Linked DNA regions of Lytechinus pictus. The protein of the gene in region 4 purifies or fractionates together with the protein of the main gene of each other region. This does not show direct contact. Links are inferred from orthologs where the notes say so. Each region holds a gene or a part of one and is shown on either strand. Other genes may lie near its edges.

The links.
Region 1: the proteins of calnexin-like (region 4) and mannosyl-oligosaccharide glucosidase-like purify together in Homo sapiens (affinity purification with mass spectrometry; 3 studies listed by BioGRID and IntAct, with this or other methods). This does not show direct contact. The link is inferred for Lytechinus pictus from reciprocal best matches to the Homo sapiens genes CANX and MOGS.
Region 2: the proteins of calnexin-like (region 4) and protein-L-histidine N-pros-methyltransferase-like purify together in Homo sapiens (co-immunoprecipitation; 3 studies listed by BioGRID and IntAct, with this or other methods). This does not show direct contact. The link is inferred for Lytechinus pictus from reciprocal best matches to the Homo sapiens genes CANX and METTL9.
Region 3: the proteins of calnexin-like (region 4) and gamma-glutamyl hydrolase A-like purify together in Homo sapiens (affinity purification with mass spectrometry; 3 studies listed by BioGRID and IntAct, with this or other methods). This does not show direct contact. The link is inferred for Lytechinus pictus from reciprocal best matches to the Homo sapiens genes CANX and GGH.

Annotation. Positions count from the first base shown.
Region 1 is NC_087256.1:13,569,022-13,576,833, forward strand, and holds the start of mannosyl-oligosaccharide glucosidase-like, read right to left. Parts: upstream 3,255-7,812; 5' UTR 3,119-3,254; coding exon 2,402-3,118; intron 1,933-2,401; coding exon 37-1,932; 3' UTR 1-36. UniProt on the Homo sapiens protein: In the context of N-glycan degradation, cleaves the distal alpha 1,2-linked glucose residue from the Glc(3)Man(9)GlcNAc(2) oligosaccharide precursor in a highly specific manner.
Region 2 is NC_087246.1:64,750,431-64,758,190, reverse strand, and holds the start of protein-L-histidine N-pros-methyltransferase-like, read right to left. Parts: upstream 3,291-7,760; 5' UTR 3,075-3,290; coding exon 2,967-3,074; intron 1-2,966. Other genes in the region: serine/threonine-protein kinase 24-like, read right to left, coding at 6,478-6,650, 7,134-7,760. UniProt on the Homo sapiens protein: Protein-histidine N-methyltransferase that specifically catalyzes 1-methylhistidine (pros-methylhistidine) methylation of target proteins.
Region 3 is NC_087254.1:19,500,196-19,508,608, forward strand, and holds the start of gamma-glutamyl hydrolase A-like, read right to left. Parts: upstream 3,155-8,413; 5' UTR 3,055-3,154; coding exon 2,967-3,054; intron 430-2,966; coding exon 267-429; intron 1-266. UniProt on the Homo sapiens protein: Hydrolyzes the polyglutamate sidechains of pteroylpolyglutamates. Progressively removes gamma-glutamyl residues from pteroylpoly-gamma-glutamate to yield pteroyl-alpha-glutamate (folic acid) and free glutamate.
Region 4 is NW_026974140.1:13,618,579-13,626,966, forward strand, and holds the start of calnexin-like, read right to left. Parts: upstream 3,195-8,388; 5' UTR 3,135-3,194; intron 1-3,134. Other genes in the region: coiled-coil domain-containing protein 138-like, read left to right, coding at 5,602-5,631. UniProt on the Homo sapiens protein: Calcium-binding protein that interacts with newly synthesized monoglucosylated glycoproteins in the endoplasmic reticulum. It may act in assisting protein assembly and/or in the retention within the ER of unassembled protein subunits.

The DNA.
Region 1 (7,812 bases), on a different chromosome or scaffold from region 4:
ATCATCATTTCAGGAAAAAAAATTAAAATTACATGACTAATAAGATTCTGACATCATCAGTACAACAAGAGCTGACCAACCAGTAAAAGGGTGGCATCCTTGCCCTTTCCCAGTTATATCATTGTAATTTTCCCACACATAACCTGACCTATTATATTGCTTTATAATATTACTAACAACATTTGCCCTGAGTTCACTGTAAATTTCTTTAGCTTGAGCAGCATAAGGACCGGGAACATTAGCATAATGATGCAAGGCACGAAGAGCTAGGTAATTAATATTGATCCAAACAGCTCCACGCCAGTACGGTGGATCGTGTTCAGTGTTATGTTTCATGTACAACGGATCGCTCTTTGATAAGGATCGAAGTCCATAGTTGGTCCACAACATGTCAGGGTTTTTCATGTCGGTGAGGGTCTTGCCAAGTTTGTCAGAGTTAGGGTCAAGGATGTGGAGAAGGAATGGGAAGAGGCTGACATATCCAAAGGAATTGACATACTTGTTGGTGGGTCCAACTTTTGATTTGACAACACGAACCATCTCCATCTGGACAGGTTGTTGACCTGGTTGGCGGGGCGGTGGGTGAGGGCGCTCTAGCACAACTCTAGCTGTATGGTTCCCAAAGTCACTAAACATTTTTGCCTTTGGGGACCAATGAAGCTTCTCAAGAAGGGCATTATTAGTTAGGACCTGCAATGTATGCTCATACTGATCATATGGTAACCCAATGGTCTTGCCTATCTCAACCATCACACTTGAAGCCAATGCCATCCAACAACGCAGATCAATGTGACGTTCTTCACTTGAGGGATGGGATGCTCGAGGATAGTCATCACATCCAGAGGTTAATGTCTTGGGATTTAACTCGCGATTTGTCTTGCTATCACGACCCTTCCAACGATAGGATGTTGGGACTGGACCATACTGAGTTGTGTTGAACCATTGGAACCATTTACCTAACCTGGGATAGATATGCTTTAGGAAGGATGTGAACTCTTTCTTTGGGATTACAGATGATCCGTCCCTCAATAATGATTGGAGGGGTAGGAAAAATGTTGGAGGGTTAGCATTTGTATCATGTTGAACTACAAACTCTGCAGGCACCTTACTTCTAGCCTCAGAGTCTAGAATCTGTTCTCTAGGTATCCAACCATCTGCATTCATTAAATCAAGCCAGTGGCCTATGATGTCTACACTGATGTATGGATCCCACTTGCTAATCAACAGATTGTGAAACCCTTCATCCCACAGGAAACCACGAGGAAAGAACGATCGTGAAGGCACTGCAGTGTACAGAGGAGCTACCCAGTATGCTACCGGTTCCGTATTATGCTTGGATTGAACAACCGAACTCCCATAGAAATACCCAATACCTCCTATCATGTTACTCATTGTTGCTTTTGCAAACACTACTTCATCAGGAGCGTATCCCTTTTCAATCAACCCGAACTTCTCCTCAAAAAGCTGGTTGAAATTATTGCTGAAGCTCTGCACAAGACTTGTCAACTCGGAACCAGCAAGCTCCTTTTCCCTGTCCGCTTTGCTTCCAGATTCAAAGACAACATCCATGATGTATGGAGGTTCTACAGTCACTTGATAGACGATGATGTTTGCTGTCTTATCAGGTGATGCTGCAATCGTTTGCTGGTCATTCCCGACAAGACCAAGAAGCTGGATCTTCTTCTTCAACTCATGATACTTCAACCGCCGCATGACAAGGTCTTTGATTGCATGGAGGCCAGGAGTGTAGGACACCAAGTAGTTGTTCATCCTGACTTTTGTTGGTTGTGGGAATCGAAGGACAAACTTCCCGAGCTCTTCTGTGGTGCCCTTGATGCCCAGCAGCTGATTTCCATCCAGGATTGGTTCAATTGATCCTTGACCATCGAGAGCGAAGTAAAACATGAGGCTCAGTGTTTTCTTCCCCTTTGTCTGCAGAATTAACATTACAAGTATAATATTAATGATAATCAGTATATTATTTTCATCAGTTCAGAAGGTAAGAATTACAAAGATCACCAACATTCAAATCACTCTGCCGACACCCCCCCCCCCCCATCCTTAGGCAAGAGCCTTGGGTGGAGCATATGAGTTAAACATAAACACAAACACAATACAATTCTCCCGAATTAGATACCAATTCAATGAAGCAATCATTATAATACTGGAATTCTCAAAATAGAATGAAAAGATATATGAAAAACAGTGTAGAGATTTGGTTAATCCATATAATAAAATATATTTTTCAAAATCATCGTAGCACTCTTACAGCTACTCATAATTCATGTAGATCTACATTGTTATTTATCAACCTGTGATGTCCAATTTTTATCTTGTAGAAATTCATAATGCTAAGTTTTTTTGCCTAGTATCATCAGTATTTAGTTGTAGTACTACTTACAATATCTACTCCATCTTTGTATCGGACAGAAATAGATGCTGACCAGTCCCCTCCTTGAAGTCCACCTCCACTCTTTGCAAAAGCCGTTTTGATATGGAATGGACCATCAAAAATATCTTGAATTCCAAAATTAACACCATCATGTTCAATCCAACCATACTTGTCCAACCCATCTCCTTGTTCACATGTGTGCCTGAATTTCAGATCTGGATTTTGACTAGGAGAAGTTGGTTGTTGAAACCACATAAGACCCACGACAGGTGATTTTGGAGAGCGTGTCTTTAAGCCGAAATAGACGCCGGGGCGGTATGTACCCCAAAACCGCCCGGGACTTTTGGCGGCGGAACTGGCATCACTCGCTATGGTAAGTGGAGCGCTTAGCGGCGTCTTCACAGCTGATCGAAGGACATGCTGATACCACAAGATCATGAGTGGTATGCTAATCATCAGAGATGTCAACAGAAACATTATGAACTTCGAAGACGATTGTGCCGCCTCATCCTTTGCCTTCCGAGACTGTGCTCCATTTCCAAGTTTCGCAAGTTTAGTTTCACGGCTGCGGGCCCCTCCCCCTCCGTCAGTGAACCGCGATCGGGGAGATACCCCCGCTTGCTTACGTTGCTTCGGCATCTTGATCGGGTGATTGAAAGCAACGCGATTTGCTAGGTTTTTGCCACTATTATGAATAAATTTCAAAATTTGAAATATAATACTCATGAACAATTCTAGTCCACTCCAGCTAATTTAGCATTTTGCACCGCAAAATGCTGGTTGATGGCTAAACATTCATTCCTTTTTTTCAAACAAGTCTACGTACGCGTTGCCGGTATTAGTCTTTCACCCAGCTCATTCGGTATCGATATCGGATATACTCTCAAAAGTCGCCACGTGCCCGTAGTCTCATATTTCGGACGTAAATCAACGTCAGATGGCATATACCTTAGCCCCCATAACTAGATTTTTAAACCCATTTTTTAGTTTATTTCAATATTCAACATACGAATCAGTAATAATAAGATAATGACCCATTGGTTATATATATATATATATATATATATATATATATATATATATATATATATATTCGGTAGATATTCCACGTGTTGGAGTAATATTAAGAGAAACAAGGTTGAAACTTTCATGCTTTAATCCAACAAAATTTATTGAAGTCCACAAATTTTCGACGAGTACATACCGTCTTTATCAAGTACATATACCGTCTTTATATATATATATATATATATATATATATATATATATATATATATATATATATATAATGAGATGAGGCGAGGCCAACTCAACAGATGACGCAGGACACCATTATTTGCTTTAGCTTTCGTCTTTTAATTGAGACTTCGTCAGAAGCCCCAGAAGCGTCTGAAAAATATAAGGAGATACAACATCCAAGTTTGTTTTGCACATTATTATCACCAAGTTGAATATATTCCATAATGACAAATTAATGAATGAACAGATAAATAAATTAATGAATAATAAATAATTAATTCAATTAAAATAATAATGATATAAATGAAGAAGACATACCTGTAATTACAGACTATTGTGATAGTTAAGTATGACCGTATCCTATCTCGTTCTTTAGGAAAGTGGCAAAAATTGCACAATGAAAACATTGGTTGCTAGGTGGTGAAAGCGCAAAGCGCATTGGTATGCGCATTTAATTTATGTCACAATAAATATGAATTTTCATGATATTAGATATCGTAAGCTGGAGGATGATGTCGAAAACATTGTTTCTTACAAGCATAGTAATTAAATTTCTATGAAACGATATAAATTTTGAAATCAAATTGAGATTATAAATAAAATTGTTGATAATTCGCGTAATGACCAAAAGTCTCACTTCTCAAGCTTAGGTCATCTAGAAAGCACATAACAAATACATAACAATAAGTATTTAAAAAAAATCATTTAATCATTTAACTAGTGACACTGATGTAACAAATGTGACACACGATTGAGGTTAATTAGAAAATATCTATTCTTCTACATTGATGCCGTTTGGTACAAGTGTCTTAAGTTTCAGAATCCAATATGACTCTCGTTTGAGTATGATTGATTTATGCTGTTTTCTGATAAGTTCTATTATCATCACACACTATATATATATATATATATATATATATATATATTTATATGTTATATATATATATATTGTCATATCAGGGAGGGAAGCTTTAGAAAATACCCTTCCTGGTATGACTATCACAACAACTCCACATTATCCCGGCATATTATTTGGTTGCATGTTGAACAAAAGGTCTAAATACATATACACAATCCATAAAGAAAATGTAATGAAGTCAGGAGGAGGGTGGGCTCCACGATCGCGACCGCGTTGGGGTGCCAATCCAATGATGTCTCATCGATCAGTTTTTGGCAACTTAATTGACTATTATGAGGCTATTTCTTTTCTGTCCAAAATTCGAGCACTTTCCCCGGGGGGCCACTTCCATTGACGAGTGGATACCATGCGCGACCATGGGGTCTCGAAAAGCACCCTAAACACGTATTTTCCATATTCTGAAAATGCACCCCTTAACAAGTATTGGCGTGTGAAACCCTACCCTTAAAGGGATGGTCCGGGCTGAAAGTATTCATTGCTTAATAAATAGAGTAGAATTCACTTAGCAAAATGCCAAAAATTTCATCAAAATCGGATAACAAATAATAAAGATATTGAAGTTTAAATTTTAGCAATATTTTGTGAAAACAGTCGTCATGAATATTCATTAGGTGGGCTGATGATGTCACATCTCCACTTTCCGTTTTCTTATGTTATTACATAAAATCATAATTTTTTCATTATTTCATACTTGATCATTCATGACGACAGTTTTCACAAAATATCGCTAAACTTTAAAATTCAATAACTTTGATATTTGTTATCCGATTTTGATGAAATTTTCGGCATTGCGCTCAGTGAATTCTACTCTATTTATTAAGCTATGAATATTTTCAGCCCGGACCATCCCTTTAACAAGTATTGGAAACAAAACGATACTCTTGGCAAGTATTCCCTGAAATGAACCCCTAAACAAGTACAGCAATATTTGTTATGTCACGGGTCCGTCGGTCGTCGGTTTTACCTTTACACATCATTTGGTTAAGTACAGCCCCACCTTCCACATCTGGCGCAAATCGGACTCTAAACGCGTAGTGTTGGGGGCAAAAACGACATCCTTTATAAAACATTTTAATTTTGTTTTATCATCCCCGCAAATTTGACCCTAAACGCGTAGCTTTCCTAGCGAAAGTAGATACCCTTTTTTCATTATTTTTTTGTTTTTGAAACCCTTATCACGTTACGTACGTAATAACGTACGTGCCCTATCTTGAAAAAGACATCCTTTTTATGTGTTTTTTTGGTCGCGCATGGTATCCAGTCGTCAATGTAAGTGGCCCCCCCGGGCACTTTCCCAACGGGAGATATTGTGAAACTTTTACCATTGCATTTACCTGGTGTAACATGGGTAGTGACATAATAATTCATTAATTTAATTTTCATTCATTTTGGGAAAAAATATTATGATTGATGTTAACTTAAAACATTAAGGAATGTTCAGTGAATAAACTTTATTTTTTCCAGCAGCAGTTTTCAATCATTCATGCCAGGGTGAGGGCCCTAGAAACAATTTTTTTTTCAAAGGGGTGCTGGTTTAAATCTAACAAGACAAAAAGGGTATATATTCACTACAAAATGAAAGTGTCCGAAATTTGAAAAGTAACCCTGCCCCCCCCCCCCCCAAAAAAAAAGGGTTCTGCTACAAAATGAAGGTGATGTTGGTTGGTCCATGAAAAAGCAATGCAAAAAAATGTTTCCACCGCTAAGAAATGAAGATGAGTGGTGATCGACATTTTGCTATTAGCATTATCAGATTTAAAGGGGGTGCTGTCTATATGAGCATACGCAGGTGACGCAGCAATGGCCGTACACAGAAATTTTTCGCGGGGGGGGGGGCAACACGCATGCTGAAAGTGAGGGAGCGATTAAGCGACCGAGCTTGTCATTGGGGCGGTTTTGCATTTTTACAAAGTGGAATTAAAGGATAGCTGTAGGCCTATACTTTGGTAAAATTTTCAGTAAAAAAAATTGGGGGTGATTGCCCCCCCCCCCCCGCTGCGTAAGGCCACGGGGACGCAGCACCCCCGTGCATGTGACCCATGATTCATACGCTTGACTTATAATTTTTTTCATAAAAGACTATTTTCTGTACGATGTACATTTCATACTGGTGCTCAAAGGCAGGAGATGGCGCTATTGCCATTGATGCATGCCGTTGATCATTTTTATCCACCTTCATGGGACGGATTCAGTCGGGTTGGAATCCGACTATGATAATCAAAATAACTGGTCTTATTTCATATTGGAAAAAAGATATGTACCTGTAATTGGTAATTGAAAAGTATAGTAGCATTCAATCATTGGTTAAAGAAATCGAGGGGACTGAATTTTTGGATACACTGCCATAATGACAAATTTCCCACATGCAGAGTAAAACCCTATAGACCCCCCAATCAATGAAAGCAAAAAATAATAAAAATAGTATATATCGGCCCTTCGTCAAACCTGCCATAAAAGGTATTCAAGTAATTTCGATTAAAATTTTGAAAAGGGCAGCCATAGATTTGTATAAGTCAGTTTCTTCGATGAATATTCAGCTGCAATAATTATTAGATAAGACCGCTTGGCAGATTAAAAAAAAATATATTATGCCCTCCCACCAGAAACGAAACTGATAACTTAATCGCAAAACATTTCATATCTGTGAAGCCTTTGTCCCCCTCTTTTATTTCATGAAGTAAAATGCACTTTAAAATTCCCATGCATGAGTGAGGTTCATCAAGAATATAGCTGGTGGCGATTTATATTATGTTTAAAGAATAGTAATTAAAAAAAGTTATTTATCGGCTTTTTAGGGGAAATGAACAGGAATCATATAAATATTTTTGTTATGCTTTTACTTCCAAATCCTGCATGGTGCCTGCATCATACGCTGTAGCATCTTATGTTCAATGTATGACTGACCTCCATCCTACGCAGCAAAGTATATAGCGGAGTATATCTTTAGAAAATGAACTTGTATGTTTGATTGTGCCTTTAAATCAAAGCCAATGAATGGTTTTGAATCGACTTTAGATCGGTTTTAGAATGAATATCCAAATAACAATTATAAGTAAAAAAACCCCAAATTTTATACTGAAATCAAAAGCATAATCCACATTTTTTAAACTTCATTATTTCTTTCTTGTTTGGCGGCATATATATACCGACCCCCAGGCCCGTTGCAGAAAAATATTTGCAACTGGATCTGATCACTAGTTGTCTTTTTTGTTTATAATATTTTCATTCGTTTCCTCATCACTCCATGCTCTTTTCATATGTC
Region 2 (7,760 bases), on a different chromosome or scaffold from region 4:
TGTCAGGCACGTAGCCAAGGGGGGCGTTCACCCCCCCAAAAAAAAAGTCCCCAAAAAGAAAAAAAAGAGAAAAGGAAAAGAGAATGGAGGAAAGGGAAGAAAGGTAGCTTTTGGGGTTTTTTTCTTTTTACTCTTTAACTTTTTTTCTCAAAAGAAGTAGGCCTAGTACCTTAAAGGGGAATCCAACCCAAATAAAAACTTGTTTTTATAAGGAAAAGAAAAATCAGATAAGTTGATAGGTGAAAGTTTGAACAATATTGGACAAACAACAAGAAAGTTATGAATTTTTAAAAGTTGTAAATATTGGTAATCACTATACCCATGGAAACTTCAAATTGGCTGCATATGGGATGTTATAGTGATGTATGGCAAGGACTACTCTTCCATGTACTCCAATACATATTTTGGCTAAAGTGTCATTTTCCCCCAAAGTTTTATTTCAAATTATGTTTTTCTTTCATGAGGACATAAAACAATATACTACCTGGGTTATGTTTAGATTACTTCCCCAGGGGAATGGGTACTTAAGAGAAAATCACAAATCCCTGATAATAAAGTACATGGCCTATGGGAAAGTTGTCCTTGCCCCTTGTCATAATTAACTTACCCAGTTGCCAATTGGAAATCTACATAGTATTAGTGATCTCAATTTTAAAGCAGCTATAACTTTTTTATTGCTTGTCCGATTTCTTTCAAACTTTCACCATTCTGTTTAATTTATTTTTCTCCTTCCAAACACAAAATTTTATGGCCAAGGCTGGATTCCCCTTTAATGAAACTACTTCACTCTCTCTCTAAATTTATATATATAAATTTTGCTTCACTTTTGAAAACAAGGTTCAAAATCACAATAAATTCAAGAGACGGTTCCTCTTCATTTTAATTCATAAAACATAGAAAGCTTCGCCTGGGAGCGGGAAACTCCCTCTCCCTGCACCCACCCCCTAGGGAGCGCACTTCGCGCACTCTGTGTTAGCACGCCTCAAAAATGAAATCCTGGCTACGCCTACGCCAAGGCTCCACATTAACTTTTTTTGGTGGTGGCCCGTTCGGGCCACCAAAACCATCAAATAATTTTTTTTGGTGGCCCGATATTAAAGTTTGGTGGCCCGAAAAATATAAAGAAACACATTAAAAATTAATAAAACAAACTTCTGAAATATTAATTCTGCAGCCACTACCACTAAGTTACTTTCACTTTATCATCTTGTATGTAAACCTTGTTTGCTGTTTTTGCTAATTGGCTTGTGGTAAAATATAAATTGTTTCTATCGTTGTAAAAATTAGAACAATGCATAAAAGGGGGAAACAAATGAAAATAATTTTCAAAAAGTATATTACAAAAAGAAAACAAAAATAATAAAAGAAATAAGTGAAATAAAACAAAAGAAAGAAAATGAAGAAAGGAAAAACAAAGAACAGGGAAAAAAAAGAAAAGAAAATTTAGAGAAAAAAAAGTGAAAGAAAAATGAATAAAACAAAATTAATATAAAAATGGGGAAAAGGGGAAAATTAAGAAGCCATTACGAATATTTTTTAACAGCTGTGGCAACAGTCTATTCTGACTGGAATATAATTAAAAGCCAAGCAAATAATTTTCACTTACCTTCTGGAAATGGCACATTTCTATTTTTATATCCTTTAGTTTGTATTATTTTATTTTCAGTAGAAACATATTTTTTAATCAGGTATATTCAATAGGAAGGGGTATAAATGGTTTAACCAAGTGCTGTAAAAAAATGAAAGAAAAAAAATAAGAAGAAAACGGCAATAGTTATATCTGGAAAAAAAGTGAGAGAAAAGTCCTTCCCTATATTTGCCAAAATGTTGAAAAAATTCACATTTCATATCAATGAAATGCCTTCCCAAAGTATCTCAAGAGTGGTTTAAGAAGTCATTTATAAACAAGAAAGAAAGAAACTGTCTGTTTATTTTTGGCTAGAAAAGACACAGCTTCGAAAGAAACCAAGTATCAACATACATACAAATGCACATGTGGGACTGTGATGTACATGCCTATGTGTTTTTATGTGTATTAATTCATTTGGAAATCGGTCTTTTGTAGTCAAAAGAGAGGTCATAATTCCTCTTCTTAATGCTTGCAAATAATCAGGGTACACCAAATTTTCGTAATATAGACTGTAGAATGTCATTTCATTGGTGTAAAATGTGACTTTGACTCAGATTTTCAAAGTTCTGTGGAAGATTTCTAAGCAGCAACATTTTTTATCGCAGCTCCCAGAGTGTGAATAGGCTGAGCTAGATCTAGAGCATGCACAGCTGTATGCAGTGGCTTCATGCAAAGCTAGCTCACGCCAGCAGCCGGCCGGTGCGGCTGGCTGGATAATAGCTACTGTATGCTATAACTGTAGGCCTAATATGCAAACTGTGTGTGTGTATTTGTGTGTAGATCAACAAAAAGGGCGCATGACGAACTGGGTTGCAATTTGAACTGTAGAAAGTTGATAAATGCGTGCAAAATCGGGAGAAAAATTGCGCTACTTTTGAAAATTATTGGTTGCCCGATTCGGGCCACCAAAACTTAACATTTTATCAATAATGGTTGCCCGATGTGAATTTCTGGTGGCCCCGGGCCACCGGGCCACCGCTAATGTCGAGCCTTGCCTACGCTACGCAGTTGGTCTGTGTACGAGTCATAAAATTACGTTAAAAACTCCTAGAAACTGATGCCATGGCTGCCAGCTGTCTACCTCGATAGATGTTGTCCTAACCTCGCATGACTGTGATCATAACTTCAACATAAGCTCTTTGATTTGAAAGTTTGAATAAGTACAGAGTCAGGGCAGTGGCAGTCTCTCACAAAAACTATATAATATATTGACATGTAAAAAAATTAGATACGGTACACAAATACAAAAATAGATATGTGGGACCCTTGCCTTGTAAAAAAAAATATACCAGCACCAAACACACATTGTTTTCTTTCTAGATTCTTAGTATCTTACCGCTTCCACGTCATAATATTTTCTCAAATTTGATCTCCTGAACCTCTCATCTGTATTATGTTCATGTATTGCACGGAGTAATGGGTTGCGAATTCGATGAGAAGCCATAATAAATTCGTCTTCAGTCAGTCTCGGAAGTTAGTCGCTTGACTCTATCATGATCAACTAGCTAGCTAGACCGATCAGCTGCGCTGCATCCCGCCCCGGCCCCCCGGCCGCGCCCCGGTCCCGCGGCCAGGTGATGTGAGGCTAGCTAAGCGGCGAGGCCGGTGCATGCAAGGATGCAAGGCAGTTTGATTGGATTGGATTGGTTCGGTTTGGTTTGGGTTGGGCCCGGGCGGGGGCCCGGGTTGGGTTAATTGGGTTGGTGGCAGGCGCGGATCCAGGGGGGGGGGGGGGGGCACAGGGGGCACGTGCCCCCCTTTTGAGAAGAAAAATTAAAATTTGTAATGTAAAAATGCCATTGAAACCGAGATGTGCCCCCTCTTTTGAAATTGAAGACCTTTTTTTTTTTTTTGCTTGTCAAATTTTTTTCGGGTACGAAATATCCTTAATTTGTGGTTGAAAACCCTTTTTGGGGGGGCTTGTCAAAATTTTCCTCCGAAAAAATTGCCCCCCCCCCTCCCTTTAGGAAAATCCTGGATCCGCCCCTGGTTGATGGGTGGGTTTGTTGAACATTCATTGGAAAAATAGCGGGAAAAATAGTAACAAAATATTGCCGGTTTGAGAAAAATCCATGAAAGGATGAAAAAATAAATAGAATTTGAATTATAGGCCTATGATCTGTGACGTCATATGCGAGCAGCTTTCCTACATATCGTATGGTAAAAACTCAATCAAATGTGATTTTCTCAGAAAATTGAAAATGGTATTCACTGTACCTTCAGTACACTGGCGGATCGATCCAGGGGGCACCAGCCGGCCCGTGCCCCCCTTGACAGGCACAATTAAAATTTGGAATGTAAATATGGCGTTAGAACAAGATATTGCTCAGGTTCGGATCAACGGGTGGGGGGGGGGGGTGGGCGGCAAGAGGTCTTGGCACAAGAGAAATCTACCCCCCCCCTCCAAAAAAAAGAGATACAAACCTTAGTCATTTGAGAGTGATGACAAACTTCTTTTTTGTCTTTTTGATTGTCAATTTTTTTTTTGCATATCAAAAAAAAAAAAGATAAAAAGATAAATCACATATCCAACAAACTGCTTAAAAAGTTCCTTTTTTTAAGTTGTCTGCCTATTGTTAAAAAAAAAACAATGTGTAAAAAATGTCCGTTCTTAAGGTTGCGCTTTGCGCCTTTGCATAAATTTAATTACTGGTATAGCCTTCATTACCCCCTTCATGACTTTTCTTTATGCATGTATGTCAAACAATGCTTCAATTCCTTTCAAGATTAGTCAGGTATATGTAGGCCCATTTATAAATTTCAGCTCGCGCTTCGCGCTCAAATTATAAACAAATAACGGATACCGTTACTATTATAAAGGTGCTCAAAATCTATAGTTTTCAGGTATGAACATCAACAATAATCAGCTCACACTTCATAATGCTCGCGTTATTTGTTTAGTAAGAGATATGGCGTGTTCATGATTAAGGAAGTAAGTGTTTAGGCTATAATGCATTGTTTTTAGGTCGCGCTTCGCGCGCGCATCTTTAAATGGTGAAACACGTATCATGTTACTGAATTCATACCAAGAGTCCTTAAAAAGCCCCCCCCCCCTTCCCGGCTCAAGGTCGGAGTGACGCCTATGCATGGTCCCTCTTGATAACCAATAAGTGCATATTGCAATATGCCTATCATGCATCATCATCGTCATCACCATCATCATACCGCCATTATCATTATCCTGATTATCATTTTCATATAATTAATATCATTGTTATCATCATCATCACCATCATTATACTGTATGCATGGTAAGGTTTCAATAAAACTTATTCATAACGCACAGCAAGATCGGCAGTGATATTGAATTTAATAATTAATATACCAATAAGTAACACAGAAATGTCAAATATTTCAAGCATAATGGCAAGTATTCTGAAGTCCAGTTTAATTTATGGTCTAACTGTGTTAAAAAAATGGGAAGCCGAAAATATATGCTTTTTACGTTTATTATCCCCCTAATTCCCAGACAGTTATGAATTGACTTTGTGTAGAATGAGCTAATTAATTGCGCCTACAATGTTACGATTTTTTTGTAACATCTGACTCCCATAGCTTACCAGAGAGTGTTTCAACAACATTTTCGTCCGACAAGTCAGATCTGACAACTCTTCTTGAATGTGGTTGGCTGAGAAGCACCATTACCATGGTAACTGTCAGATAAAACAGGACTTGTCGGATAAAATGTCCCACAAGAGCTTTCAAGTTACGCTCCCAAGAGTCCATAGAGTTCAGAATTTAAGGGTTTTGTCTTTGCATAAATCAAATTACTTAACAATAACTAATTTTAATTGCTTTTTAAACAGAAAAGTCACACAGAAATGTCGTATATATAATATTTTTTTGCATACTTCGAAAACTTCTTTTTTGTATACAACTATAGCTTGCGAGGAATTTGAAAAGATAGTCCACAAACTTTAATGGCTCATCATTATAACATGATATTGAATGTAACATAACATGTAAAATATTGAACTTGGCAGTGAAAAGGCAAATTGAAATGCTGTAAATTTTTTTTCTTTGAATGAATCAATAGTTTATGTTAAATCCATCATTTTTCATATCTTTCGGAATGATTATTATAACATTTACTGAAAATCATACTGCATATGTTCTTTGATAAGAATACTTATTCATAAAATCTTAGAATTTCTTTATTATCCCATGAATATAGTGAATAAAAACAAAAACAAAATACGTCTTAAATTAAAATAACAAGTTATGCGCCTGCGCACTGAAAACACTATTATAAATACATCATCAATCGAAATTATAAATACAATATTTCTATTACTATTTATCCGGTAAAAAATTGTTAATCAGGGGTATTTCATCAATATTTTTCGTCCGAAAATGTTTTAGATCCGATGAGCGCTTCATTAACATTTTCACCCGACAAGTTATCAGGTCTGACAACTTTCCTTGATTATGATTGGCTAAGAGACAATGTTACCATAGTAACTGTCGGATAAATCACTACTTGTCGGATAAACGTCTGAAACGCTCGCCAGACCTCTTTTGTTGATTTTGATTGGCTGAGAAGCATTGTTACTATGGTAACTGTTGGGGACTTGACGGATAAAAATTAATGTTAAAACGTCTCACAAGTCATTTTATGAACGCTCCCCAGGTAATCCATTTGCTTCTGCAAACTCATCATTAGTCTGCTACCATTCCCTGCTTGACAATTATTATCGTGTAACCGTTTATAGACAGATGAATTAGTACGACTTCATATACTGTATATCCAGCAAGACCAGCATAATTATATGTCTGCAAATCTTTTTAAATATTGATGGTCCAAATGTTTTGCTCGGAAAGATTTTGCTTTTGTGAAACTTCACTCTTCATCGATGTTTTTTAACGAGTCTTTTCCAGAGTGGAATTTGGCGGCGATCCATTTGTTTCTTAAAGGAAGTGATATGTTCGAGAACAAAGGAAAGGTCCGGTCTTGACTGTGGATTCCTCTTCATGCATTTGATGGCTAAGGATGTTAGATCTTTCAGAAGTGGACATCTTTCTGCATGGTTGTGGAGGAGAAGAATTTAAAGTAAAACGGACACAATCAGGAAAAAGGTAACTGAGTAAGGAAATCTTCATTAATCCGGGCATTATTCAAACCAATTTTTTTTTTTATAGAAGTCTTTTATCTTTGCTTTCAAAGGAAATACATTCCAGTTATGCCATCAAAGCGGTTATCGCTTCTGCTGGTTGGACAATGGCGTAACCCGACTATTCAAGAAAATTGGCCCCAAACCGGTCCGAGACTCCGAGCAGTGCATGGGGATGATAGCAACTAATATATTGACCTGAAAATTCATAATTTTGGGGACAAAACCTCCTGCCCTACCCCATTTTTATTTTTATTTGGCAAATTGCTTGGCAGAAAATATGTACACCACTGTCCCCACCCCTCCTTTAGCCAATCCTTGATATACGCCCCTGTCCCCTATATATTCTATATACTCCTCTGATAAATTACACGAGGAATCTTGCAAATTACCTTCTACAACTTTTGTGATGTCTTCAAGGATTTTGCCAACTGAGAATACATCCGATGAAATCGATGTTGACTGTCCATGTAGAACGACCTCGGGGGCTACGTAATCACCCTCCTCTCCGTGAATGTATGCTACTTTCAATTCTTCAGGAAGCTCCGTCATCTGTAACGGCGACGAGATCGTACTGACCATACCGAAGTCAATGATGACGGCGTGGTAACTATGACCTCTTTTCTCGAGAAGGACATTATCGGTCTTGAGGTCGTTGTGCAGGAGCCCTTGGTCGTGAAGCTCCATCATTCCTCGCACGACGTCCTCTGCGATGTCGAGGCCGTTTGTAACAGACAAAGACGGAGGCTCGAGGAGAGAGAAGGAGGTCCCCGACTTTTGATTTCCAACAAATTCTATTGCCAAGCAGGGGTCGTTGTCGAGATCGAGCGTGCCTAAAAAGCTCGGAAAGTACTGACTGTCGGATAGAAGTTGGTGAACAATTGCCTCTTTCTCTACCCTAGCACTGATCGTGTCAGTGGATTCATTGACCATTTCGTTGGACGCATGGTGGTTTTGTGATCTGCAAGATTGTTTGATTGCCAGAGCCCTCTTAGTCTGGATGTGTCGCCCCAAGAGCA
Region 3 (8,413 bases), on a different chromosome or scaffold from region 4:
ACTCATATGACACCCAAATTGTTCATTGTCTGGGAATTGTCTGGGAATGATAACTGAAGTATTTTTCTTCATTATGAAAGCAAAAGGAAACAAAATAGTAAACATAAGAAACATACAATATATACAGAATTTTTTAACTTTTGGCTCCCCATAATTTTAGCAGAGTTAGACCGTGGTCTAAGTTAAACCTGACTTCAGAATACGGGCCATAGCTTCCTACAGAAGCAGAGTTCCCAGGAACAAATGTCTTTGAAACCTCATCTTACCCATTGAGAGATTTGAAAATGTTGTTATAGTATTCATCCGTTTGATTTACAAGGATGGGAACAACTCGAGCACCAGCAGACTCCAGATACTTGATGTAGGATGCAGCGATGTAAGAGGCCCCATACTTCTTTGTCGATGAGGAACTCCCTTGCGCCAACACACCTTAAATGCGTTTGGAAAAAAAATGTGTAACTTACTCAATTACCAATATTAACAGTAAGGCCCTAAAAGACTACCTTCCCCCTTTCTTTTCAAATTAAATTCTCTAGATGCAGTATCAATACATAACTGCTCCTACCACTCTCAGTAAATCCAAAATGGTATGTTTGTCTAGACCGGGAAAATTATTCATGGTTGATGTTGCAGCTCCTCCAGACTATCAAAAAATATAGGGCTTATAATGACAACTTACAATCAGGCTCATTTTACACTGCCCTTATAAAAAAATTGATTTGGATTGAACTGAACTTGGAAAATGGCCCTCTAGTCTTACATATATCTTTTGTAGCATTATTGTAACTAATAATCAATAAATTGTTCATCATAAGTCAATACAGAACTATAGTCAAGACAGCCCGGCACATAAAGTGGATAACTAGACCTAGATTTACAGAATAGATTCTTGCAACATGATCACCCTCCTCGATTATACCCTCATTTTCCTTCTTTAACTTTTTAACTGAGCACTCCTACTTTTGCTTCTCAAGTTCTCATCCTCCTTTCTTCTTTCGATCCTTCTCCTTCTCAATCTCCTGTCAAACTTCTCATTCTCATCCATTTCATCACTGGCTAGACCAAAAGCTTCAGTTTCTGTGATGTCAGTTGTTCCACTTGACTCCTGACTTGACTACTCTCTTGATTGTGTAGGAAAGTTTTAAATGTAAAAAAATATATGTTTAAAAACCCCTCCAAACAGATGAATTCAACTGCATGGCATGCATTGATTGGTCTGCTTTCCAATGAAATGTTTCTTCAAAAGACAAAACACAATAAATGCTTGTGAAGTTGTGTATTATTCTTGAATAAACATGCATGCTGTAAAAAGACTTTGGCAGTGTATCCTATTGCCGGACACCTTTATTTTAGTGCTTTAAAAATGACAACTAGAGGAAATACAATCAAGAAAAATTCACACTTGCTATTCCAAATATTATGAAAATTATGAATATGATGAAATTATTTTATATTTACCAACCATTTTCTTTGCATCGCACTTGCCGCATACCCCTCCACGAAAAACAATTATTTTCGGACGCACGCCGGACGGGTAAAGATATCCTTGATTATAATGATGTAAGAACAAATTTGTGTGATTTTTTTCTTCTTATATCATATCATGAGTAAATTCTAAGTTTTTATTTGCTTTTTTTATATCGAATCTGAGCAGATGTTGGTAATAAATTCGTATTTGATAACTTATTAAATCTTATCTTGTTTGCTGCATGTTCCATGGCACTTTCCAATAATAATAAGTTCTATCGATGCGCTGCCGATCGACGGCTCTACTCACGGTAAACCTCGCGCACGGGTACCTTGAGAACTAGCCGTCGACGATCACCCACAATACACCATACCTCATCATTCGATCGAAGGAGTGGACGAGATTGAAATTCGGCAAATCAGGCCCATATTTCCGTTAGAAAATATACAAATTGTTAATGCAAACTATGTCATCAGTAGAGGCGCACGGCCAATATGGGAGACTCTCTCCAATAGGGGAGACAATCTCCCACATTGGAGACTTGCTTTGCAAAAGGACAAAAGAAACAACACCAACAAAAGCATGATTTTTTCCACCCAAAATTTTTGTCTCACTGAGGTCAGAAGCCCATTTGTTTTGTATGTGATTGACAACAAAAATCCTTATCAAAACAAAAGTAGACGGTGAATATTTAAAGTAGACGGTGAAAAGGGGTAATTTTTCATGAGGAATCTGCTTATCACATTTTTATTTGCCGCCAAGGTAATCCTTTTGCAGCAAATGTAAACAAAGGAAATTGGACTCCAAAACTGGAGACTGTCTCTGAAATTGGATACCCAAATTCTTTACAAAAGTCTCTGATATTGGAGATAATCTCCCACATTGGAGACAGTCTCCAATATTGGCCGTGCGCCTCTACTGGTCATATGATATTTTAAGCATTTTCTGTCATTTTAGAGATAAATAAGGTAAAAGTTTGATTTTTTCACCTTGTTTTAGCAATCTTGTTCTATGTATTGCTCTGTGAAATCGAATTGCGGAAGTCTTACGGTACGAAATTGTTTTCGAACGCAGTAATATGCGCGTCCGGAATCATAATATTGTCCGGTAATTTAGTAATACATTACAAATACAATACGTGACGATACTATTACTAAAAAATATGTGAAACACAGATCCTGCTTGAATTCGTAATCAGCTAATACACCGAGGACCTTGGATACGTGTCTTTGGGTACACAGATAATTAGTCAAAAATATTTGGCACAATTAAGCACGGTCAAATTAAATAGTGAGGTCCGCGATGGAGGGCCCACTCCACTCACACGTATTGCGACTATGCTGGGCCCACTCAACATAATAGCAATCGCAGCTCTCACCCAGCCAGAGCGCCTGGCGCGACACAGGTGGAGTTTCCGTAATCACAATCAAAAGGCGAGAAATCAGCCGGAGAATTACTTCAGTGAAACAAAAAATAAATACGTGGTATTGCAACTTACCCACAACGGGACGAAGTGGAAGAGCATATGTAGAGATGATTGACACTGAAATAATTAGGAAAGTTACTTTAAAGATAAAAGTATTCATTGTGAAATTAAGTCGGAACGTCGTCTGCAAAATCCTCGAGTACGGTGCCGTACTTGTTGTGAACGATCGTGTGATGCAATCAGAGTTATCAGACCACGCACGCGCACTTGATGATAGCGAGGCTATAACGGTAGAGCTCGAGCTCGCTACGAGATGGAGGCCGAGGATGCCTGCCGATGACGTGATGGTGTGGGGGTGCCGGGTGGCGAGGGTGGACGCAATGGGTCGATAGACGAAAAGGATTCAAGAATCAACAAAATTAAAATCTTAAAATAGAGAGAGTGTCTTCACTGGCGTAAATGGGGGGGGGGGGGGGGGCCTGGCCCAAAAAAGTTCCACCACCAAGATAAAAATGAGAAAAATGAACAAAAGGAAAGGAAAAAAACACATTAAATATGTTATTTTATATTGACTAATTAATCCCTCTTTAGCTTTTCTTATCAAAGAAGGTAAAAAATATTTCTTGTTCACTCAAAACTTTCAAAAATTGTGCTCATTACACAGTGATGTTTGGGGTTTGTCCCCCTAATTTTATTTGGCTCATTACCCTACTGGGTGTTTGTGTGAGGAAACAGGGGTATACAATTTTTCCCTCCCCCCTTCCCCCCCCCCAAAAAAAAAAAAATATTCAGGGTTGCAAGCTGCATGTCCAATGGAAATGAATAATTGTCATCGTTGGAAAAGGCAGAAAGGAAGGCTTTTGTAGTCACATTCATTTTCTTTTCAATTTTTTTAAGGTCTACTGCCATCACAATTCATTCATATTCATTCTCATCTGTTTTATCTTATTTCCCAAAAAGAGCACATCCTTTTTTTTCTTTATTGTGTACATCCTGCCACTCCCCCTCTTCTCATCCCCCCTCTCACTCTCTCCCTCCCTCCCTCCCCCTCTCCCATTCTTTCTCCCTCTCTCTCTCAGCTCTCCCTCTCCGTATGTCTGTGAGTTAAAAACATGGCAAATAGTTAATCTGTGCATCAAAGTGCATTACAAAAATTATTCTATGCATTTCAATCACTTGTTTATGATTTACGATCAGACCATTCTATTCATCAAATTGATAAGGCAATCATTTCAATTCAAAGTCAAAACAGAATATGAGAGTCTATTCTTGGAAAAAAATCCAAACTGTCTGTTAACAAAACTATTATTTTTAGGTCTTACTGTAAACTAATACAGTATATATATATATATATATATATATATATATATATATATATATATATATATATATATATATATAACTAGAATAAATGTAACCACTTTTATTTTAAAATGTAAATGACAAAAAACACTATTTCCATTCCTATTTTAATATTCCATTTTAAAGTATCCAACAACATACCCACAGGAATATAACCTCTGAAACTCTAGACGATTTCTTAAAAGAAAAAAAACAGACCATCACAGCCAAAATATGGGTAATATATAACTGTATTTCCCAGTACATTCATGACAGTTTGAAAATGACAAGTAAAAATCATCTGTATTTATATTTCCTAAAATATATTACTTGTAGTTACATTGTAGTACAAATCAAATTGAGTGAATTTCAATTTTCAATTTCTAACATTATCATATGCTACTACATCTCATCTGCCCCCCCCCCCCCTCCCCAGAAAATATAATAATAATAAATAAATAAATCAATAAAAAATAACAATAATAAGCAGTCAGTCCGCAAGCCCTGAAAAAGTAGCTTCTTTTATCCAAGTGATATTCATGACTAGAGGGTTTTTGCATAGTTAATGAGCTTGGTGCGAACCAAAACACCTCTTTTTATTCGGCCATTGCTGCTCTAAATATTGACCAAATTTCATGTTTTTGGTATCTTTGTAAAGAAGAAGAATCATTCTTTTAGGTCATGTGTTTGGATTTTTTAAAAAATGTTGTAATATAGGAAAAACTTTTGATCTAAAACATGAAACAAATTTTTTTTTTCATGCAACAAAAGTTGTTATTTTCACACTTAATTTCTGTTTGGGCACAAATTATTTTTAAATCATGATAAAGTTGAAGATCTAAGCTTTAATATGATATAATTTTTATAAGAAGATGTATTTTAGATGGGTCAGCAGCCAGCTTTTCATAGGCCAAGTACATTTTGCAGCTCAAAAACAAGAATACTGCGCTCTGATTGGTCATATAGACCACACACCCATGCAAATTCCAATGTTCCCCACACTGGGCCTCTGCAAGGTCACACTCACCATGTGGTAATCTCTTCAAATTACCCGCGCCTGTTTGTTTTGAAAACAGTATTCAGCCAATCAGAACTCTGGATTTTATGTTACTCAGAAATTTCAGAAATCTCGTCTTGCATCTTGATGGAAAAAGCTGGCTGCTGACCCATCTAAAAGATGCCACATATCAAAAGTGACATTGTAAGAAAGTATAGAGTTTGAGCTTTCTGATGATATAAATAATGTTGGTGCCTAAAACACAAAATGTTGCACAATTTGCAAGTGAAAACAGAGGAAGAAAATTCTGTTTGATGCATCTTTTCAGGTAAAAAAATCACTTATTTATCAAAATATTTCATTCAAAAGAAATGACCAATATAAAAGAGTAACATTTACTCTTGCCCATGGTACAAAAATAATCAATATTACTCAAGGAGAAAGTGGTTAAATTCTTTGAGAAAGAAAGTCTCACAATTCACGAGATTTTGCAGGGACATGAATTCAGCCACGAGAGGACTTGGATAAATCTTGCTCATTTGCTCATTAACACAGGGGCTTGCGGACTGACTGTAAGTGTTAAATATAAGTCAGTTCACAGTTGGCTCATGATCAACTTTTCTAAAATGACCTTTCCTATGTTCCATTAGGGTGAGCACTATCACTTTCAAATGAAGATGTTGTGTAAGCTTTCCAAGCAAAGCAATCAAATTCTAACAAAGATAGGCATGGTACAGAGCAGCTTAGGTGTGATGAAAAGAATATATTCAAATGAATACATGAATAGTTACCAAATCACAAATGCTTGTCAGTGAATAGGAAATACTTGATGGTTTATCTCAAATAACCTTTTACTGCTCATGCGCAGTTTACAACTGTGAACAGGCTTATTGCATCGTCAAAGCTAAAAGCACTTTATCTGCCTCTGATGAGTTAGGTCACTTGGGTGATCCTACATGCAATGAATAATCACTTTTAAATAAAGGGATACTTTGTGAATGAGATTAATACTGAGCTTTGGGTTTTAAAAAGCAAGCTTCTAATGCAGTTTTCTGTAAGACAAGGACTTTCAACTAAATGAGGGATCAATTTGATAGTAAAACTTATGTAGGCAGTGTAACCATTTACTTAAAGGATAAAATGAAAATATGTGTATAATTAAATGACTATTCAAAATAAAGCCTTTGATTATATGTACATGGTGTTATTGAAAATTTGTGCATATTTACAATCAAATTCAATAATAATAAAATCAGTTTTCTCATTCACATTTGTACCACAGAAGCTCAAAATTTGCTACAAAATGTTCAAGTGACATATTAATGACCACTTTAATTGTCAATAGTACTATAGATTAAGGGGCTTTCACAATTGCTTGGGTGATCATTTGCAATCAGTTTGGCCCCAAAATTATGATACAGCTTACAGTAAGTCATATTATTTGCATTTTTAAAAGATTAAAGTGTAATTTGCACTATAATATAATATTGTACATGATTAAAAAAATAAAAATGTTAAATCATTTCTAGTCGACTCAGTATATATTACACAAATTCAGCAAATGTATAAAGCAGGTTAAAGCAATTAGGTAATTGAAACTAGTGTGGTTTCAAGTCAACCAACCTTGACACAACAAATGCCAGATGACTATTACCAACTGGGCACTTCCACATGGGCATTGTACTTTAGTTATAAAGTTTTTGAAATAAAAAATATGTCTTTTGTTTTGCTACCCTCTTTACCATTTAATGCAAGAAAAATTATGATTGTTCTCTTCCACTCAATTTTCTTACATCCATGATATTATAGTACTTGACCACGATACTGGTATTACCAGGAAATTGAGCCATTTTCAGAGTACAAAAATGTCTTCTGAAATCAGTCATTTAAAAAAAATTAACAATTAACTCTTTGTAAACTCCCCCCCCCAAAAAAAAAAAAAGTATGATACTAATGCCTGAACCACTGAACCAATACATAGAAAGATTGAGCAAACCAACTTCATTTTGAACCCTTAACCCTAATTCTCCCGGGGGGGGGGCCATAATGGCCCCCCCTCGACAATTTTCGCGATATATCTGCTGCGCAAAATTTTTTGACCTCGCCGCTTACTGACTTTTTACTTTCAAGTCTCGCGCAAATTTAGAGACCAAATTTGTGACGCCCGGGTACACGGTTACGACATTACGCAACATTATGTAAGTGCATGTCAGACCCAAAATTGCTCATAAACGTGATTTCAAGTACAAATCCAATGCAAATTGTGTATTTAGCCAAAATTCATAAATGTATCATTATTTCTACTTTTACTGATTAAACTTAATTAATTTTGCCTTGTTTATGGTCAGAATTAAGTCTGGAACGATTTCCATTGAAAAAACAATAAAAAACAAAAAGTAAAAAAACAAAGAAATACATAAGAAATTCATAAAACAATAAAATACATAAGAAATTGATTTCCAAACCGAAGTTTTTTTTTTATCGCGATTGTTAAGAATGCTACAAAGAATATTTTTACCAAAAATTAGCATTCTAGGAGCTTTATTTAGTGAATTAGTGCAAAAAGTATGATTTATGCATAAATTAGAATAATTAATTCATATAAAATAAAATCTCATTATTTTGGAAAATTTTACCATACAGCCCTGTAGATTACATCGCACACTACCAGCGTGCAAATTTTTGCGTCGCTCGCTCGCTCGATCAGCGGCCGAGATCTTAAGGGGGGGCCATTATGGCCCCCCCCCCCCCCCGGGAATGACAAGAATCAAAATACCCCGGGAGAGTTAGGGTTAAAGACCAAATTACAAAACCTCTGCTCTATAAACTGACCACATATCTCATATCTAAACATGGCAACCAACTTTCTTTATTTGACTATGAATTCCAATTAGTGATAATAAATTATATATTCGCTAATGTTTGTACCTTTTGCATCAATCATGTAATTTATTATTATTGGTAGAATTTGTTTATATTTGCAGCTTGTTGTTACGCTACATGTAGCGCCATGAGCGTGTTTGGACAGTGTGTGCGCTCTATAAAACAATACCATTATTACTTTTACTATTATTATTCAGAAACCATTAAACATAAATCCAGACAGATTTAAGGTCAGCCATTAAGGGACACTCTACCAGAAATAAGAAGTCTAATTATGTGCACTAGATCATGCTTGTAG
Region 4 (8,388 bases):
CCAAGGTACAAGTTTCCTTTGTAGGGGACCAGGAGGAGGAAAACTCCAGCGGGTCGGAGGAGCTGGCCAGCCACCGGCCCCCACCGCCAGAGGCCAAATAGAGGGTTCCAAGCTAGCAAGCAGCTCAGAGGGGCCATCCGTAGGCTCATCTGAAGGAATAACAGAGGGCGTGTCGGAGCGCCTGATAGTCCCAGGGAATAATGTAACCGGAATAGCTACTTATGTAGAGGCTGCGGCGGGGGATCCAGTTGGTCCCTCGAACACCCGAATATCAGACCTGGGTGAAGCCATTCTGGAATCAGTTCCAGATGCTCTCCCAGGGCTTGGGTGTGCAAGCGAGATTGAAGAGGTAGTGGTATGTAGGTTGGAGTCGCGCTCTACTCTCAAGGTCTCAGTTGTTATAGGGGGGCAGCCAGTAAGCGCAGTTGTCGATACCGCAGCCGAGGTGTCCATCATCTCGGATAGGCTCCTGCAGTCACTGGACCCCCAGCCCCCTAAACTGAGAGGAGTGATCCTACATGCAGCGGGACGGGATATGAAGATGAGAGGGACAATTGTCGGTCCCCTTTCCATAGAGCTTGGGAACCAGACATTCTCGGAGGAAGTATATGTAGCCCCTATAGCTGATCATATGCTCCTGGGATTAGATTTCCTCAGCAAGCGCAAGGCTGCGATTCACCTCCTAGATCCGCATATGCAGTTGGGAGGTCAGAGGATTCCACTTTGGTATAGTGATGACCCTGGGCGGCAGATTGCCCGGGTTCATTTGCACAAGCGGGTAATTGTTCCTCCGAATGCAGTCAAGCGGATCACCGGCATTATAGACCAACGTTTAGAGGATTTCATGTTTAACCCTTAGGATGGCTTACTGCTCCTAGTTCCCGGTTCGGTTTACAGGGCTGGGAAAACAGAACCCATCTGATAGGCACCTTAAGGTAACCTGCTCTGAGGTGTTGGGGGAAACTGAAAAATTGAAGGGAAGGGAGACGGGATCGCTCCCTGTTGAAAAATGGGTTCACCTGGATCGCGGTTCCTCTACCGAATTACAGGCAAGCAGCCGTACTATTGGGGCTAATGGTTCAGCTTGTAGGTGGAGCCAGTCCAGTACAAGTCGGTCAGGGTGAGGCCAGTGGGCGTTACCGATGGGCAGCTGCCCATCGACCCGTTACGGGTGGAACAGGAGAAGGATCCTACCCTGGGTTCACTAGCGAGGTGGGAGAGCTTGTCACCTCAGCCTGGCGGATAAGGTTTCTCACCCTCATGGAGCGAGCTAGGATTAACCATCTGGCACTCTATGGGGTGTAGTGAGGAAAAAAGGGACTGGAGGAGATCTGTCCTCCATTTGTCACGAAGGGATTTCGATTCCCTTTGCATTTTTGGGTTAGCTTAGCGCGTTTAGGACCCTATATGTTTTTCTGTACGGGAGGGACCAGCCGAGTCGCCTCCTCTTTGTGTCTGTTGTGTTCGTTGTTTTCGTCTATCTTTTTTGTATATTTAGGCCATGTAGGAAATGCTTCATGGTCCGCTTTGGAGGGGAGTGTTTTAAATGGCCCTTTTCGCATAATGGCAGCGCTGACGCCCCCTTCCTGCACCTGGGGGACCTAGGTTGGGTACTGGTGCTCCAGTCTCTCAACCGAACGGGAATGCTATGTGTTGCACAGCCCGGGTAAGATGGTGCCTCGACAGGGGAGGGCCAGCGGCAGCCCACTGCTATGGGAAAGTGGAGCTTTCTGGGAAGGGGGGACCCTCCTGGGATATGGGTTTTTGTATGGGTTTTATATTTTTATATATATATACCATTGTTCTATATGTTTTGTATGGGTTTTTTAAAGAACCTCAAAACTCTAGGTTTTTAGGTGTTATTACGGGTTTTTACCGTTTTCATGTTACGGGTTTTTAAAGTTTAAAGTGTTGAACAAGTTTTTAGCACAGTTGTGCCAAGTGTTTTGGATAGTTTTGGAGTTTTTATTTATAAAAGAACGGAATATGTTTATGGCTGATTACGGGTAGCAAATTATAATTAATTTTGGGAATGCAGACTTGGGACAGAACAATGCTGCATAAGTACTTTTTGCCAAATTTTAAGGAGCATTGTGTACATAAAAGACCAAAGGGAATTTTTAAATGGGCTTGTATTTACTCATGCCCAGCCGGGAGATAAGGTCTCCTGGTTGGGGTGCCTAGGGAGTGGAGAATTTTTTCCTCCCTCTGCCTGGTGTCTGGTTTGGATAGCGTCCATTTGGGTTGGAAACTCGAGGGACCGAGTTTTATAGAACGGGGGGGACTGTTGTAGTAAGTCACCCCACCCCCCATATAGGTCTTCCACCGGGAGATGGCGCTGGACCCCTTTTAGACGCTGGAGGACGTTGGATCCCTTGGATCATTGTATTTGAAGCTGAACTCACACGGAATAGACAGGAACTAGGACATCACTCCAGGAAAATACTGGTTAGTGACTTATTCCTTATATTCTAGCTTCAGGTATCAACCTAGTGGTCAAGCTGGGGGCGCGACCGCTACATATACTTGAAACTGTCCCCACCGCCGTGAAAATCAAGCTTGATTCCCCGTTGAGTGGGGACTGTATCACGAGTATATAATAAATTAATAGGGAGAGAACCCAAGTGTTTATATACACTACAGTGTGTGTTTCATTTGTGTGTGTAATATCATTTTGCTACAGTCTTAGTTTTACAGAGCTGTCCGAGAGTTGGGGACTGTGTTCTGGAGAAGGGAAGTGATTTTCATGCGTTCTGGTGGTAGGTGTGATTCTAATAATCCCCACTTTTGGATTTGGGGACTATATCACGATTATGCCAACCAACATACAGCAAGATTTCATTCATCAACATGGCAACTTCGATTTCTCAAGACCAAGTCTGTCTGGCATGATCACGTCATGACAAGCACAAACTGACAAACAAATTAAATTCCACATCCATTTCTTACACATGGGACTACACACAAAAAGATGATCGACTACACTCGACTTAAGATTTGATTAAAACGCACGATTCCTAGAATAGAATCTACAAAATTGGTTTATGTACAGGTATATACAAATGATGATGTTTTCAATGCCATTTTCAGCTACACTCATACACAAATTCATATTAAAAGGGGTGTGTTCTCACCTTCACGCCGGCGCCGGTAATCGGTAATGAACGCCGTATCGTATCGTCACATGCAAAAAACATCGCATAAAATTATCGCGTGGAGCACGCTGACTGGTCAAATTTTGTGTGCGTTAATTCCAATGTGTAGAAATGAGAGACAATATTCCGATGGTTCATTTGCGTTGCCAATATGTTACTTGGACTACTGATGGCAATTTTAAATGGGTTAAATTCTGTTTTATAGTTTTAAAAGTATAATTTTGATATTTGAAACTGGCAGACGTTTAATCTATATATTTTAAATGCGCTGCTACTTTTTATCTGGCATAATTGTACATTAAAAAAAAAAGAAGAAATGGGTGGGGGAGGGGCACAAAAATCTAAACCTAGCCTTAGACCGGGGCCTTAGACCAATGAGATGGGCATCACTCATCATAGTGGTGGATTAATCCACCTCTATGGCATCACTTAACTTGGCAGTCAATACTCCCGAGGGGGGGGGGGTACTTACATTTGGTTTGGACGGGGGTGTGCGACTGAAGGCTCAAAACCCATACCCATGATATTTACGGGTCATTTTGGCTAAAAAGGTACCCATTTATATTACGGATTTATTACAGAGGCGGATCCAAGATTTTCAAAGGGGGGGGGGGCACGATTTTCCCTGGAAAATTTGACAAGCAAGCAACAACAAAAAAAAGGTTATCACCCATTTCGTGCACCTTAGACTTTGGAGTAATATGGACCCATGTTCAAGGCCAGTATCTAAAAATTGGGGCCATGTTTAGGGATTTTCCAGCATAAAACCATACCCCATGTTAGGGACTTCTTTCCAAAAAGCGACACATTCCAGTGGCACATCTCCGTATGCCTTATTTCGTGAATATATATCCCCCCCCGGGTCAATACGTGCATCCAAGCATGGATCCAAGCCTCGATCCAAGGCCATGTGTCCATTGATAATACCTGCAATCATTTAGCCAGTAAATTTGCATAATATGGGTATATAATTTAGTAGATGATCTATATTGGACATCCAAAAAAAAGCGGGAAGATTAAAAAAAAATTCCAGAAATCAGGACGACCCTGATTCCTATGAGCTATATTTTATGCAAGAAGGGAACTTGTACTTCATCACATATAGTGATTATTTGAGCCATAATTGCTTTCTGACAAAGTTCGAGGAAATAAGTCATTTAAGTAGCTTGGAAATTATTCCACCATGCAATCAATCAGTGGAGGCCAGGATTTTCCAAAAAGGGGGTACATTTTCCCGAGGAAAATTCGACAAGTTTCAAGTTTCAAAATTTATTGATCAAAATCCACACATATTAAGTTACAAATCAAATATATATATATATAAATAAATATAAATACTAAATACAGTAAAAATATGGTTAACAATTTTCAAGGAGCCCTAAAACACTTTGCACGATTTTTATATATGTAAATTATACTAAGCTAAAATCACATTTATATAATTACAAGCAAAAAAGGTCCATAGTGAGTTTAAAAGGGGAAGAGGGGCACACTTCGAAAACTCTGCATAAATGAGAACGTGCCTAATTTAAGTCCCCAGGATTATGTCCGGGGTCTTTATTATTTTTGGACCCCCGCTCCCCCCCCCAAAAAAAAAAAAAAAAATCTGGCCTTCCCCCATTCCCACTTTATAAAGTTTCGATATTTTTATCTGTCTCTTTCATATAACATGTGTGGATTTCTTTTATTAATATTTAGTTTGCAAATGCATGCTAACTTAAAACTTCTTGAAATATAATTTTCATTAAATGATAAAAAAAAGATTCACTCTTCAGGGGCTGCAGAACAGTTTTGAAAGTGGAGGGCGGCTGAGCCAAAGGTGGAGGGCGGCTGAGCCAAAAGTGGAGGGCGGCTGAGCCAAGTGGAGGGCGGCTGAGCCAAAAGTGCATGACCATGCAAAAACTCACTATGGGATGGTAATTTTTACATTTTTGTACCCGGGTTTGGAAAAAAAAAACAGGAGGAGCTGAAGCCCCCCAGCCACCCCCTGTTTCGCGGCTCCTGCCGTTTTTAAAATGAAAATTTGAAATTTAAATATTTCTGAGATCATCAAAACGATCGTCATTCTAGCAGTGCGTAGTTTGGGATGCTAACTTTAAAGATGAATTGCAATCGGCTAAAGACCCTGTAATTTTTTTTTATTATGATAATTTGTAATTTAATTTGTAAATCCTGTACAGAATATTTAGTAAATGTTATTTCACAATCGACTTTTAATGATCTTTGAAATAATTTCATTGAATTCTATTGGTACTGGGTCATTATTAAACTACCGGTACTAGTTTTTATTTTATTTTCTTTATCTGAATAAATAATATTTCATAGATTAAGACTATCTATTGGCACCAAAATCAAATGTTGATCAGCTGTGAATGTCGTCGTGTTTACCACTAACCCCAAATCACCGGTCGCAAATTCAAATTTACCAGAACCTGTGCCTTGTGAGATGTCTCGGAAATCTTATCAACATAGAACTGTAAATACCAGTGCCGACTCAATTGAAATTTCTTAGGTTAAGTTAGCTTAGATTTACTGAATACACGCCAATTCGAATGCACACACATGCACAGACATGTCATTAACGAATACGTACGGTACGGTACCTCAGGCTCAGCCTCAGGCGATGTTCGCGCAGGCTCCACTCCACTTCACTACCGCAGCGGCTAGGCGCTACACTACGCTCCACCTACCCGAACATCGGGACAGTGAACTACTTCAACTAGATCGGATATTCCGAGTCATAAGGTGGGATGGCAATCATGGTTATCGTAAAAGTTAAAGAAAAAAAATATAACGAGGGATATGAATGACTTAAATAAATATTCTTACTCTACACCCGTATTTCACTCCGTGTCCATCCTCCGGTTATCCTCAAAATTTGTGATTTTTGGCCAGTATCTTTTTCCTCACATGTACAGTAGACTAGAGGCGCACGGCCAATATTGGGCATAATCGTGATATAGTCCCCAAATCCAAAAATGGGGATTATTAATATTAGAATCACACCTACCAGAACGCAAGAAAATCACTTCCTTTCTCCAGAACACAGTCCCCAACTCTCGCACAGCTCGCGCTCGAGAACTTGCGAAATGATAACACACTTACACTTGGATTCTCTCCCTATATATACTCGTGATACAGTCCCCACTCTACGGGAAATCAAGTTCACTTTGCACGCAGTGGGGATAGCTCCAACAGTATATTATACTCATGATACCGTCCCCTCACAACATAAAATCGTGCTCGTTCGACAAGGCCAAGGGGATGGGGACAGTTTCCCAGTGTAACGTGACAAGGAAGACTCATTCAAAACCTTCGGGAATTATTATTATCATTGTCATTATCATATTATATTATCATTATTATCATTTTATCATTATATTATTATTGTTATTTAATCATAATTATCATTATTGTTATCATTATTATTGTTGTTATTTAATCATTATTATTGCTATTATTATTATATTGTCAATATTATTATTATCATTATTAATATTATTACTATCATCATCATATATAAAACTTGCACAGACATGTCATTAACGAATACCGCCTTTTACCGGGTACGGTACGGTACCTCAGGCTCAGCCTCAGGCGATGTTCGCGCAGGCTCCACTCCACTTCACTACCGCAGCGGCTAGGCGCTACACTACGCTCCACCTACCCGAACATCGGGACAGTGAACTACTTCAACTAGATCGGATATTCCGAGTCATAAGGTGGGATGGCAATCATGGTTATCGTAAAAGTTAAAGAAAAAAAATATAACGAGGGATATGAATGACTTAAATAAATATTCTTACTCTACACCCGTATTTCACTCCGTGTCCATCCTCCGGTTATCCTCAAAATTGGTGATTTTTGGCCAGTATCTTTTTCCTCACATGTACAGTAGACTAGAGGCGCACGGCCAATATTGGGCATAATCGTGATATAGTCCCCAAATCCAAAAATGGGGATTATTAATATTAGAATCACACCTACCAGAACGCAAGAAAATCACTTCCTTTCTCCAGAACACAGTCCCCAACTCTCGCACAGCTCGCGCTCGAGAACTTGCGAAATGATAACACACTTACACTTGGATTCTCTCCCTATATATACTCGTGATACAGTCCCCACTCTACGGGAAATCAAGTTCACTTTGCACGCAGTGGGGATAGCTCCAACAGTATATTATACTCATGATACCGTCCCCTCACAACATAAAATCGTGCTCGTTCGACAAGGCCAAGGGGATGGGGACAGTTTCCCAGTGTAACGTGACAAGGAAGACTCATTCAAAACCTTCGGGAATTATTATTATCATTGTCATTATCATATTATATTATCATTATTATCATTTTATCATTATATTATTATTGTTATTTAATCATAATTATCATTATTGTTATCATTATTATTGTTGTTATTTAATCATTATTATTGCTATTATTATTATATTGTCAATATTATTATTATCATTATTAATATTATTACTATCATCATCATATATCATTATTTTTTATTATTGTTGGTGTTATTATTATTATTATAATAATGATAGTATTATAAATTATTATATTATCATTATTATTATTATTCTTTATCATTGAAAATGTGCCCCTTCCATCCATTCTGTTCCTTGTATTTCATTTAATTCCTTCAAATGAAATCACTGTAGATCGACTCATAATAACGTTTGGGTATTAATTATTATAATTATCATCATTGGCATCATTTTCATTATTGTTGTTATTATTGAAAGAGTCACCCCAAAACAAAGTAATCAATACAAATATGTGACGGAAATGAAAAGTAAAGTAATGATAACAACAATAGTATAATGATGGGGATGATGATAATAAAGATTAATAACAATAATGATGTTGATAATAATTATGATAAAGGTTAATATAATGTTAATAATAGAGAATAATAACAATAATAATAATTATTATAAAATAATAAATAAAAGATAAATAATGTTAACAAAAAATAAGAATAACAATATTAGGTAAATAATAAATAAATACAATAAAAAATAATGACAATAATGATGATAATAATTACGATAATACCCAAAAGTTATGAATGAGTCTACAGTGATTTCATTTGAAGGAATTAAATGAAATACAAGGAACGGACTGGATGGAAGGGGCACATTTCCAATGATAAAGAATAATAATGATAATAATAATATAATAATTTATTATACTATTATCAGTATCACTATTATGATGATAATAAT